Sus scrofa: one gene and its partner. Each later gene encodes a partner of the first gene's protein in a complex. Links are inferred from orthologs where the notes say so. Each region holds a gene or a part of one and is shown on either strand. Other genes may lie near its edges.

The links. The genes of interacting proteins can lie anywhere in the genome.
Region 2: the proteins of EIF4A1 (region 1) and PDCD4 are in contact, whole or in part, in a crystal structure (PDB 2ZU6), measured with the Homo sapiens proteins. The link is inferred for Sus scrofa from reciprocal best matches to the Homo sapiens genes EIF4A1 and PDCD4. Residues at the interface, in NP_001407.1 of Homo sapiens: Gln75, Thr109, Arg110, Glu111, Ile135, Gly137, Val140, Thr158, Gly160, Arg161, Asp164, Glu186, Leu188, Ser189, Arg190, Gly191, Phe192, Gln195, Ala214, Thr215, Met216, Pro217, Glu240, Leu241, Thr242, Asn280, Thr281, Arg282, Arg283, Thr329; in NP_055271.2 of Homo sapiens: Pro170, Gln173, Glu174, Glu177, His178, Glu183, Glu186, Met187, Asp190, Leu209, Glu210, Lys212, Glu249, Leu250, Leu252, Asp253, Thr254, Pro255, Arg256, Gly320, Gln321, Gln322, Ser323, Val324, Leu327, Glu348, Lys352, Glu355, Val356, Pro357.

Annotation. Positions count from the first base shown.
Region 1 is NC_010454.4:52,870,711-52,876,228, forward strand, and holds the end of EIF4A1 (eukaryotic initiation factor 4A-I), read left to right. Parts: intron 1-63; coding exon 64-203; intron 204-1,086; coding exon 1,087-1,255; intron 1,256-1,579; coding exon 1,580-1,689; intron 1,690-1,841; coding exon 1,842-1,985; intron 1,986-2,062; coding exon 2,063-2,200; intron 2,201-2,335; coding exon 2,336-2,425; intron 2,426-2,690; coding exon 2,691-2,770; intron 2,771-2,869; coding exon 2,870-3,014; 3' UTR 3,015-3,226; downstream 3,227-5,518. UniProt on the Homo sapiens protein: ATP-dependent RNA helicase which is a subunit of the eIF4F complex involved in cap recognition and is required for mRNA binding to ribosome.
Region 2 is NC_010456.5:121,322,316-121,328,375, reverse strand, and holds part of PDCD4 (programmed cell death protein 4), read right to left. Parts: intron 5,801-6,060; coding exon 5,579-5,800; intron 3,752-5,578; coding exon 3,654-3,751; intron 2,741-3,653; coding exon 2,626-2,740; intron 1,020-2,625; exon of another isoform or gene 959-1,019; intron 1-958. UniProt on the Homo sapiens protein: Inhibits translation initiation and cap-dependent translation. May excert its function by hindering the interaction between EIF4A1 and EIF4G. Inhibits the helicase activity of EIF4A. Modulates the activation of JUN kinase.

The DNA.
Region 1 (5,518 bases):
GTGTCCCATGATTCCAAAGAATATTTCCTGCCATTAAATTTCTCTCTCATTTTGTCACTTTAGGTTATGATGTGATCGCTCAAGCCCAATCTGGGACTGGGAAAACTGCCACTTTCGCCATATCAATTCTGCAGCAGATTGAATTGGATCTAAAGGCCACCCAGGCCTTGGTCCTGGCACCCACTAGAGAGTTGGCTCAGCAGGTGAGATTTTACCTCTCCCCAAAGGACTCATTTAGAAATGAATAATAAAACCCAAAAATCAGAAGTATGTGCCCCGACTACCACCACCTTGGAAGAACTGACGTATAGAGAATGAAAGAGATGAAACAAAGTCAGTTGATAACTTGTAGATCTTTTGGGATTTATTAGGTTAATTATAAACCTTAACCAAGCACAGTAAGCATCCTTTACTCCACCCGTTTCCTGAGTCAGATGTGAAGGCTGCTGGGTGGAATGTGACTGGCTGGGCAAGTTTGGCTCTTCTATGACCAAAACCCCCTGGCAATGGGCAAAGAGACACCTGATTGGTGGTGTTGTTCTTATATCAGTCATGGGAAAAGCAGATGTGTATATAGTCCTCTGTTCATCCTAGCTTGATGCCTGGGTTGGTGGCCAGAGCTGTTTCATGCCTAGGACACATGGAATGAACTGTTTTCCTGGGTCTTAGAGGAAAAGGATCAGAGACACCTGTCTCATAAATTGACTGTTTTCTTGCCTATGAAGTGAGTGTTTAATAGTGCTTGAGTTGTTGGGAAAAATAAATTCATAAGCATTTTTTCCCCCCTGGGGCCACACCTGTGGCATACGGGGAGGTTCCCAGGCTAGGGTTCCAATTGGAGTTGTAACTGTCGGCCTACACCAGAGCCATGGTAACATTGGATCCAAGCTGCCTCTGCTGCCTATACCACAGCCCACGGCAATGCAGGATCCTTAACCCACTGAGCAGGGCCAGGGATCGAACCCACAACCTTATGGTTCCTAGCCAGATTTGTTAATCACTGAGGCACGACAGGAACTCCAGTACATAAGCATTTATGAGATGGAGCCTGGTGACTATAGCTAACACAGCATTTTATCTTTTCAGATACAGAAGGTGGTTATGGCATTAGGAGATTACATGGGTGCTTCCTGCCATGCCTGCATTGGTGGTACCAATGTGCGTGCTGAGGTGCAGAAGCTACAGATGGAAGCTCCCCACATCATCGTGGGTACCCCAGGCCGTGTGTTTGATATGCTTAACAGGAGATACTTGTGTGAGTGTCTCAATTTTCCAGGTCTCTGGGTCACTTCCTTAAGCATGTTTTCCCAGTTTTTTTTTTTTTTTTTTTAAGCATTGCTCTGTGATGAACCCCATGCGTGTCATCTGAGCCTGGCTTCCCTGTCAGCTCAGCCCAGGTAGTGTTCTACTTCTCAGGGCTGTTGTCTGGCCTTGCAAGGGGCTCACAGGCAAAGGATCAATCTTTGTATTCTGAGAGCAGACCACCTATCTCCTATTCTTTATCTGGGAAGAAGTGAAAGTATATCTTACCTTTTTTAAATACCTGTTGGTGTGTGTGTGTTTTTTTTTCTTTTGTTAGCTCCCAAATACATCAAGATGTTTGTATTGGATGAAGCTGATGAGATGTTAAGCCGAGGGTTCAAGGACCAGATCTATGACATATTCCAAAAGCTCAATAGCAACACCCAGGTGAGAAGAACATTGGGGTTTTGCTCGTGTGAGTGGTGATTCCTTTGTACGGATGGTAGTGTTCTCGGGGTGAGAGACCATTACAAAGTGCCAGACAAACCATAAAGCTCTGGAGGACCTGCTACCTCCCCTGAGACTGTTGTCCCCATTAGGTGGTTTTGCTGTCAGCTACAATGCCTTCTGATGTGCTGGAAGTGACCAAGAAGTTCATGCGGGACCCAATTCGAATCCTTGTCAAGAAGGAAGAGCTGACCCTGGAGGGTATTCGCCAATTCTACATCAATGTGGAACGCGAGGTGGGGCCCAGTGCAGGAGGCGGGCCTGGCAGGAAGGCGGGGGGATAGCCCCTGACTGATTTCTCCCCCACCCCCAGGAGTGGAAGCTGGACACCCTGTGTGACTTGTACGAAACCCTGACCATCACCCAGGCAGTCATCTTCATCAACACCCGAAGGAAGGTCGACTGGCTCACGGAGAAGATGCACGCCCGAGACTTCACCGTCTCTGCTATGGTGAGCGCCCGCCGCCACCGCTGCGGCCGTGGTTTCCCAGCAAGAGGGGGGCTGTCACAGGCCTACTTCCCCAGCCAGTTCTCGCTGAACCAGCACACCTACCTGCTAACAGCCGCCTTCTGTTTCCTGTTGTAGCACGGGGACATGGACCAGAAAGAACGCGACGTCATCATGAGGGAGTTCCGCTCGGGCTCCAGCAGAGTGTTGATTACCACGGATCTGCTGGTGAGTAGAAGCTGAGTAGAAGCGAGTGTGAGAAGACTGGGGACCAAGGGCGGATCCAAGGTGATTCCCTCTCCAAGGGGCCTGCTTGTGCCCCTCTTCTGGAAAGTAGCAGCTTGGAATAACATCTGGCAGGCCTGAGGCTCTGGCGGCGAGGGGCTGTAAACATCCTCTGCCTGCCTTGGGCTGCCCACACACACGCCTCTCCTGGACAGACTCCTCCCTCTCCCTGGAGTCACCCACTGAAGCCGCCTTCTCTCCCACACAGGCCAGAGGCATCGACGTGCAGCAGGTTTCCTTAGTCATCAACTATGACCTTCCCACCAACAGGGAAAACTACATCCACAGGTAAAGACACCTGCCAGGCTGCCCCCCCCCGCCCAGTCCTCCCTGCACAGCAGCGCCCCGGTCTTCCCCATCTTCCTCATACTCTAACTTGTTTCCCAGGATCGGTCGTGGCGGACGTTTTGGCCGTAAGGGTGTGGCTATTAACATGGTGACAGAAGAAGACAAGAGGACTCTCCGGGACATTGAGACCTTCTACAACACCTCCATCGAGGAGATGCCCCTCAATGTTGCTGACCTCATCTGAGGCGCTGCTCTGCTCTCCCAGCCCCAGCCAGGGATCCGACCTGTCCTTGAGGGGGGCTGAGGAACAGCAGCAGGGGGGAGGGAAGGGAGCCAAGGGATGGACATCTTGTCATTTTTTTCTTTTTTTTTTTTTTTCTTTGAATAAATGTCACTTTTTGAGGCAAAAGAAGGAACCATGACCATTTTAGACACCCTTTTCTTTGGGGCAGGCTCTTGCCCCAGGCGCCGGCTCTTCTCCCAGAAACACTAATCCATTTCCCTAACCTCGTCAACTTTCAAACCCAAGGCTCTCCCCACCCCAGCTGAATTCTGAAAATAATTCAGTGGGGGCTGTAATGCCCCTCCACCTCATTTGCTGGACCAAATCTGGAGGGAGAGCCCGAGTTAAGTGGCCCAGGGCACTGTCCCCAGGTGGGGGGGGAGCAGGGGAAAGAACATGGTAGCCATTTTTACATTGTTTTTGTATAGTATTTATTGATGCAGGAAAACAAACACAAAATTCTGAATAAAATAACTTGGAAACTGCTTTGGCTTCTCATTTCTTACCTCTCCTTCCCCTACCCCGCTACTGGGTAGGTACAGCTCTGCTCCCCTGCTGAACTGGGTAACCGGTAACATGACTCTTAGGAAGGGGCTGGGCCAGCACAGTCATAAGCAGCTCACATGTCTCTAGGCAAAGAGGAAGTGATCTGAGCCCAGAGAAAGGGGAAATCAAAGTTGTGATCTTTACACCCCGTTGAGCTTGGGGGGTGGGGGGCTGTGGCTGCAGGCTCTGGTCCTTTGATCACCTGCAACCCCTGAGCATATTTTCCTGAGGTGGACAAGAGTCTCCCAGGATCGACTACCCCAAACTCCCTTCTCACGTAACACAGTGCCCACTTTGGAAATGCCAGGGCTAATCACTAGGTGACACAAATTTGATGACTCAGGAGATTAGTGGCTGGAGCTGAGGTGCCTGAGTCAAGTTGGGGGCGGGGCTACCAGTTAACAGGAAGTCAGATTTATTTCCTTTTCCCAAAAGGCTGAGGGATTAGGATTGAGAGAGCAGGCAGCTGGGACCCACACAGAACTTAGCTGGATTCTGAGTGCAGGCTGTTCTGACATGACGTTGGCTGTGCTCTTCTTAGGGGCCCTGCTGGGACTCCTCGCAGGTAAGGCGAAGGCGGCTGGGGGTGGGGGGTGCCCAGGGAGAAGCCTGCCCCTGGGTTGCCAACCAGTTCTTTCCTCTGCTGAAAGCCCAGGGAGCTGGGGTCGACTCTCCTCATAAAAAATCAGCCACTCTGCTGCCATCCTTCACGGTGACACCTACGGCTACAGAAAGCACCACCAGCCACAGAACCACCACTCCAAGAACCACCACCACAGGCACCACCAGCCATGGGCCCACAACAGTCACTCACAATCCTGCTACCACCACCAGTCACGGAAATGCCACAGTTCATCCAACAAGCAGCAGCACTGCCACCAGCCCAGGATCCTCCACCAGATCCCCCCACCCAGGGCCACCTCCACCCTCTCCAAGTCCTAGCCCGGGCTCCCAGGAGGCCATAGGAGACTACACTTGGACGAACGGCTCCCAGCCCTGCGTCCAGCTCCAAGCCCAGATTCAGATTCGAGTTCTGTACCCAACCCAGGGTGGAGGAGAGGTGAGGACAGGCGGGGAAGGGCACGCAGCCTGCTGCCCTGGTTCAGAAGGGGAGGAGTAGAGGGGGCCAAACCCAGCGTGAAGACCAAAGGAACAAGGAAGGAAGCTTGACTGGCGCAGCTGTGCAGTCTTGTGACCCTCTCATCTTTAACTTCTGCAGGCCTGGGGCATCTCTGTACTGAACCCCAACAAAACCAAGGCCCTGGGGGGCTGTGAGGGTGCCCATCCCCACGTGCGCCTCTCATTCCCCTACGGACAGCTCACCTTTGGATTCAAGCAGGTACTCAACCCTCATCCCTCGCTCTCGGCCTCCAAGCCCCCTATGCCTCCAAACCCCTTGCCACACTCCTTAGTCTGTGTACCTGGATCTGCCGCTGCCTGAGTCTTCCTGATCACTTCCCCAGCAGCCACAGGAGAGCACTGTCTACCTGAACTACATGGCTGTGGAGTACAACGTGTCCTTCCCCCGGGCAGCGCGTGAGTTACCTTCCCCTTCTCATCATTTGCACCAGATGTCTGGGCTCCTGAAGGGACCTGAGCTGGGCTGTGGGGACATGGACGTGGAGCTGACCCTCCCCCCCCTTTTGTCTTTTGCCTTTTTCTAGGGCCACACCTGCGGCATATGAAGGTTCCCAGGTTAGGGGTCGAATTGGAGCTGTAGCCACTGGCCTATGCCAGAGCCATAGCAACGCGGGGTCCAAGCTGCGTCTTTGACCTACACCACAACTCACGGCAATGCCGGATCCTTAACCCACTGAGCAAGGCCAGGGATCAAACCCGCAACCTCATGGTTCCTAGTCGGATTCATTAACCACTGTGCCACAACGGGAACTCCTCCCCTTTCTTTTAGAGTGGACATT
Region 2 (6,060 bases), on another chromosome or scaffold:
CTTTAAGTATTTAAATTTTTTTTTTTTTTTTTTTTTTTTTGTCTTTTCTAGGGCCGCGCCCATGGCATATGGAGGTTCCCAGGCTAGGGACTGAATCAGAGCTACAGCTGCCCGGCCAACGCAACAGCCACAGCAACTCGGGATCCAAGCCACATCTGTGACCTACACCACAGCTCATGGCAACGCCGGATCCTTAACCCACTAAGCGAGGCCAGGGATCGAACCTGCAACCTCATGGTTCCTAGTCGGATTCGTTAACCACTGAGCCACGACGGGAACTCCCTAAAATAATTATTAAATTATTATTTCCCACTGGGTTTCATGCCATTTTTGACAATAAATTATAATACATGTATATATTTCTAAAAGTCCATTTTGTCCAACTCACCCTTCCATATAAAAAAAATGAATAACCAAATAATGTCAATCTCAAATTCATATATTGGTAGTTTTATTCCAATTTTTATCTTTTTTTGTTGAGATAATTCACATGCCATAAAAAAGTCTGGCAGTTTCTCAAAATATTAATTTTGAGGAGTATTATCATCTTAACAATACTAAGTCAGTTCATTGACATGGGATATCTCTCTCTACTTATTTAGGCCTTCTTTAATTTCTTTCAAGTGTTTTGCAGTGTTTAGTGCCTAAGACTTGATTTGTTAAATTAATTCCTACACATTTTAATCTTTTCATGCTGTTGTAAATGGAATTGCTTTCTTTTTTTAATTTTTATTACAGTATAGTTGATTTACAATGTTCCTTCAGTTTCTGCTTCATAGCAGTGACCCAGTCACCCATACAAACCCACTTTTGTTTAGTTTTGTATTTTTCCATCGGGTTCTTACCTAAGAGACTGGATGCAGTTCCCTGTGCTGTTTTCTTAATTTCATTTCAGATTAATCATTCACTGCTAGTGTTCAGAAGATCTAGAATTAATTTTTTTTTCTTTGCTTTTTAGGGCTACACATGCCAGCCTACACCACAGCCACAGCAAAATGGGATCCAAGCCTCCTCTGTGATCTACACCACAGTTCACAGCAACGCTGGCCCTTAACCCACTGAGCAAGGCCAGGAATCAAAGGCCAAGCTGCATCCTCATGGATCCTCAGGTTTGTAACCCACTGAGCCACAACAGGAAATCCCTGGAATTAAATCTTGTATATTGATCTTGTATCCTTAAACTGAGTTGAATTTGTTTATAAATTAATAGTTTGGTGTTTTTGTTTTTTTAAGGAGTCATTTGGGTTTTCTATATACAGATCATGTCATCTGGGAAGAGAGATAATTTTACTTCCTCTTTTCCAATTTAGATGCCTTCTATTTCATTTTCTTGCTGAACTGCTACAGTATCTTGGCTTTTTTATACCTCAATTTTCTAATAATGTTATAATTTTTTAAAAAACAGATATTGCAATCATGACATTACAAATACCAACTCATCTACCTTAACATATATAAAAGCAAAACTGGTCAAAGCTCTAACTATATTTTGAGCTCCTTAACATTCTAACTTGTTATACATATTAAAATATTTATTAAACATCAAAACTATAGCCATATGAAAAGATTATACCCAAAAGTCAGAAGCACCTATACTATAAATCTAATTTTCTTAAAATCTTCAAATAAGATTACTTTTTTTAGTTTCTTATAGAACATCACTTAACTTTTTTGCCAGAAAAAAAAAAATCTATAAGAGAATAAATCTGGCGTTAATGCAAAAATCTACTTTTTTTTTTTTGTCTTTTTGCCATTTCTTGGGCCACTCCCGTGGCATATGGAGGTTCCCAGGCTAGAGGTCTAATCAGAGCTGTACCCGCCGGCCTACGCCAGAACCGCAGCAACACGGGATCCCAGCCGCGTCTGCAACCTACACCACAGCTCACAGCAATGCCGGATCATTAACCCACTGAGCAAGGGCAGGGACCGAACCCGCAACCTCATGGTTCCTAGTCGGATTCGTTAACCACTGCACCACGACGGGAACTCCTACTTTTTCTTTTAAAGCATGCATATAGGTAGTGAATTTCCTTAGAAAAATCTAGCACTCTGATCTAACGTTCATAATTCATAACTATTATAATCTGAGACCATCCAGTTTCAAACTGCTCTTATGAAAGTGGATATTTACTGAATAACTACAAAACAGAAACTCTTATATCAACAGTATTTGAAAAAAAATACCAAAATAAGAAAGAGACTTCAGATATTCCTTTGAGGTTCCTACACAGCCTCCTTTTAATTACTCATGAAAGCCCTTTTAGCAACATAGTCTTATTTTTAAGTCAGGAATATCATAAAAATTGAATAATGATTATGCAATTAGTGTATAATTTATAGCAAAAAGGCATAAAGCCAATATATAAGAATTATTCAATTTTCCACTTGCAGCTATAAAACTAAACTTAACTTTTGTCCAAAAAAATACCAGCTAAAGAATACATATAAATTGGAGTTCTCTTGTGGCAGAGTGGGTTAAGGATCTGGCATCGTCACTGGAGCAGCATGGGTTGCTACTGAGGTGTGGGTTCGATCCCTGGCCCAGGGAACTTCCTCATGCTATTGGCATGGCCAAAAAGAAAAAAATTCATATAAATTAAGTTAAAGACAATACCCCATAGTTACCTCTTTAACAAGGTGATTAACAGACTGCTGCCCACCTCCAGAGCCCCATACACTGTCTTTGCGCCTTCCACCTTTAGACATACTCAGGAGCACCGTAGCCTTGTCCAGAGCAGCTCTACCAAAATAAAAAAAAAGTTAATTTTAACATATAGACATGCTTGAGATTGACCAAATTATGGATAAAGTTGGGGGGGGGGACACATACACTAGAAAACTTTCACATAACATAAAAGCAACCTAAAATTCAGAAGTCTCTTAAAAAACTACTTTTTAAAATAAAAAGTTGGGAACAAAAAAGTTGCTTCTCATTTAATATTCTCATACTCACTTATTTCTACTTCTCAGTCAACAAAAATATAACATTATCTCAAAATAACTGATCTGTATTAAGAAGGAACATTTCACCTAAAACTAACTTTTACATAGAATCATGACATTCCACCATGGCAACCATTCCACTATGAGCTGAAGTAGTCCTAGAAAATTCATATCTACACTTGTGAAAACATAAAGCACAGCTAAGTCCAAATCTAAGTTTCTAAGAAGCTATGAAAAATCATATTAACATAACTCTGAAATTATCTTACAATTATACCAAAGAACAAAAGTGAAAAACATTATTTCCTAAGACTTCTATAGCAAATAAGTATAAAACTGAAAACTGCTTTGTTAATATTATCCACCTTATTCTTCTAATTACAGAATATTAATATTTGAAAGGAACTTAAAGAGCCCTCTAAGTCCCATTCATTCATTTTATAAATAAGGAAACTGAGGCTGAGAGAAAAGTGGCTTGACATAAATGTAGCCAATAGTTTAGCTAAAACACAGAACTTCTGCATTATATTACTGTCCTCTTTCTGTTGCATCATGTCAAGAATCTCTCAATTCTGTTTTAACTGTGGCAAGTACATACACATAACAAATAGGTGGCTACAATGTCTGGTCAATTCAAGTGTCATTTCAACAGAATCCTGTTGAACTTTCCCCTATTTTCAAAGTCTTAGTAGGAAAATTAATTTACTTACCTAGCTTGTACACAGTCTACAGTTCCTTTGTAACTATCAATATAGGTATTACATAAAATTCCATCTCCAACAGCTCTAGCAATAAACTGGCCCACCAACTATATAATGAAAAAAAGCTATATTAAAAAATCCAAAATAAACCTTCATAGGACACAATTTCTAAATACATAAATGATGAAGACAGGCTGAATTACACAGTGAATACCTAAGACATGTTGGAATATTAAAAAAACACCCATTTAGCACCTACTGGTTATGCTTGGCATAACACTCCCGCATCTTAACCTTTAGGTTAAGTGCCATGGAGGGGCATAAAACATCTGTTTTGCTCATGACTGAATCCCCAACACCTTGCACACTGCCTGAAACATAGCATATAATTAAAAATACTTAAGTCAATGGCTTAATAGTCAAGGGAAACCTCTCTTCTGGAAAAAAGAAAATTGGACTATAGTCTCTCAAAAAAAAACTGTTTAATTAAAGGAATTTAACTTAAGAGTGGAAAGTTGTATAGAAATACTTATCTGAAAGTATGCCCACAGCATTAGTTCTTCTAAAAATTGAAAACAACAACTTAGTGTCTAACAATAAAGGTGTGGTTAAATGGTGTATATGCAGGATGGTACACCATGTGGCAAAATGTTTATCACATTTTATGGTGTAAGAAAAATCGAGTTTACAAAATAGCGTAAATAATATGATTCCACTTTTAATGGAGGGGGCAGGGGGCAGACTACAGCTTGCAGAAGACCCCAGACCAGGGATCAAACCTGCGTCACAGCAGTGAGTGACCAAAGCCATAGCAGTGACAACACCTGATCACCTGCTGCATCACTAGGCAACTCTTGATTCCACTTATTAAAACAATTTTAAAATTTAAGGATATATAAAAACCATACATTTACATACATACAAAAAGAAGAATGGAAGATTCAATATCAAAATGTTAACAGTTACCAGTGGTTATTTTTGCTGGCCTTTCTTCCTTTTGGGCAAAACTTCTATAATGAATATAAACTTCCGGACAATTTTTTTTTTTTTAAGTATAGGTATTGGTATTAAGGAAAAAAAAAAAAAAAAGAGTTTCTACTGGGACACAGGTTCAATCCCTGGCCCAGCTTCAGTTGCAACTGTGGCTCAGATCTGATCCCTGACCCCCAGAGCTCCACATGCCACTGGGCAGCCAAAAAGATAAAAAAAGTTCAAGTTTGAAACAAAGCTCAATACTAACAGAGACTACTATCACAGGTAAGTGTAACAGAAATAGCATTTAGGTTAACCTACCTATACTCTATTCCTAAATTAATGTTTAAGTAAAGTGCTCCTACCTTGCTTTAAAACTTTGGTCAGGTAAATAGCAACGATTTCACACGTTTTCAATTTCAAACCAGAAAGTCATATTATAGTGTCAGCATGTATTAAATCTAATAAAAGTATAAGGCTTTGAGGACAGAATCTAAATAAAAGCATACATAAGTCATGAATTTTCTAATTATTTCCCCACAAAGCTACAAAAGGGAATAATCTTATTTATGATTATTTTTATAATAAACATTAGTCAAGAAAACTCAATCCTCAATAATCTACATTAAAAAAAAAAACCTAGCTCATGAAACAGCTTAAGTACATGTAATAGAGAACAGAGAGACAGAACAAAATATATGACCCAAAACTTACACAGAGCATGGGGTGGAAGTAAGACATAAAATCATAGTGTGATGAAAACTATGTTTGAAGGGGAAAAAAAAAAAAACAGCCAGGGAAAACTATAGCAAGATGTTAAAGAGGGCTACTTTTGTGTGGTAGGGACTATGGCCAGTTTTTCCCCTTTCATCTACTAAAATTTCCTAGGAGCATGTTATTAGTTCTATAATTGCAAGCATATGTAAAGGGAGAGAATGAACAAAAAGAAGAATCAGACAAACCTGTGGTGCTCTAGGAGTATCCAATGCTAATTCAGGTAGCTCTTTCAACAATTTATCAAATGATTTTTCTACATCATTTGTGCTCATTACTGTCCCACAAAGGTCAGAAAGAAGCTTAGATGTCATTTCTCTATGACTAGCTTTTCCCTCCAAGGCTAAGGACACTGCTAACACCGGTACTCCACTTTTCATTTCACCAAGATTTAAATCTCTTAGCATTTCCTATTCAAAAAAAAAAAAAAAAAAAGTATGTCACTGCCTATAGTTCAATTTAATTTTTTTTAAATCAAGATTTTACCCATATATCCTTACCTCTCTCTGTTTGGAAATAATGAGAAGTCATATCTTGGGGGATAAGATAAACACATCTACATATAAATCAAATACTGACCCACTTATAAGTCAAGCTTCAACTGTCTAAACATCACTAAACTCAAAAGTGTCAATTATACCTAAAATAGTTTATTAAACTACATAATACT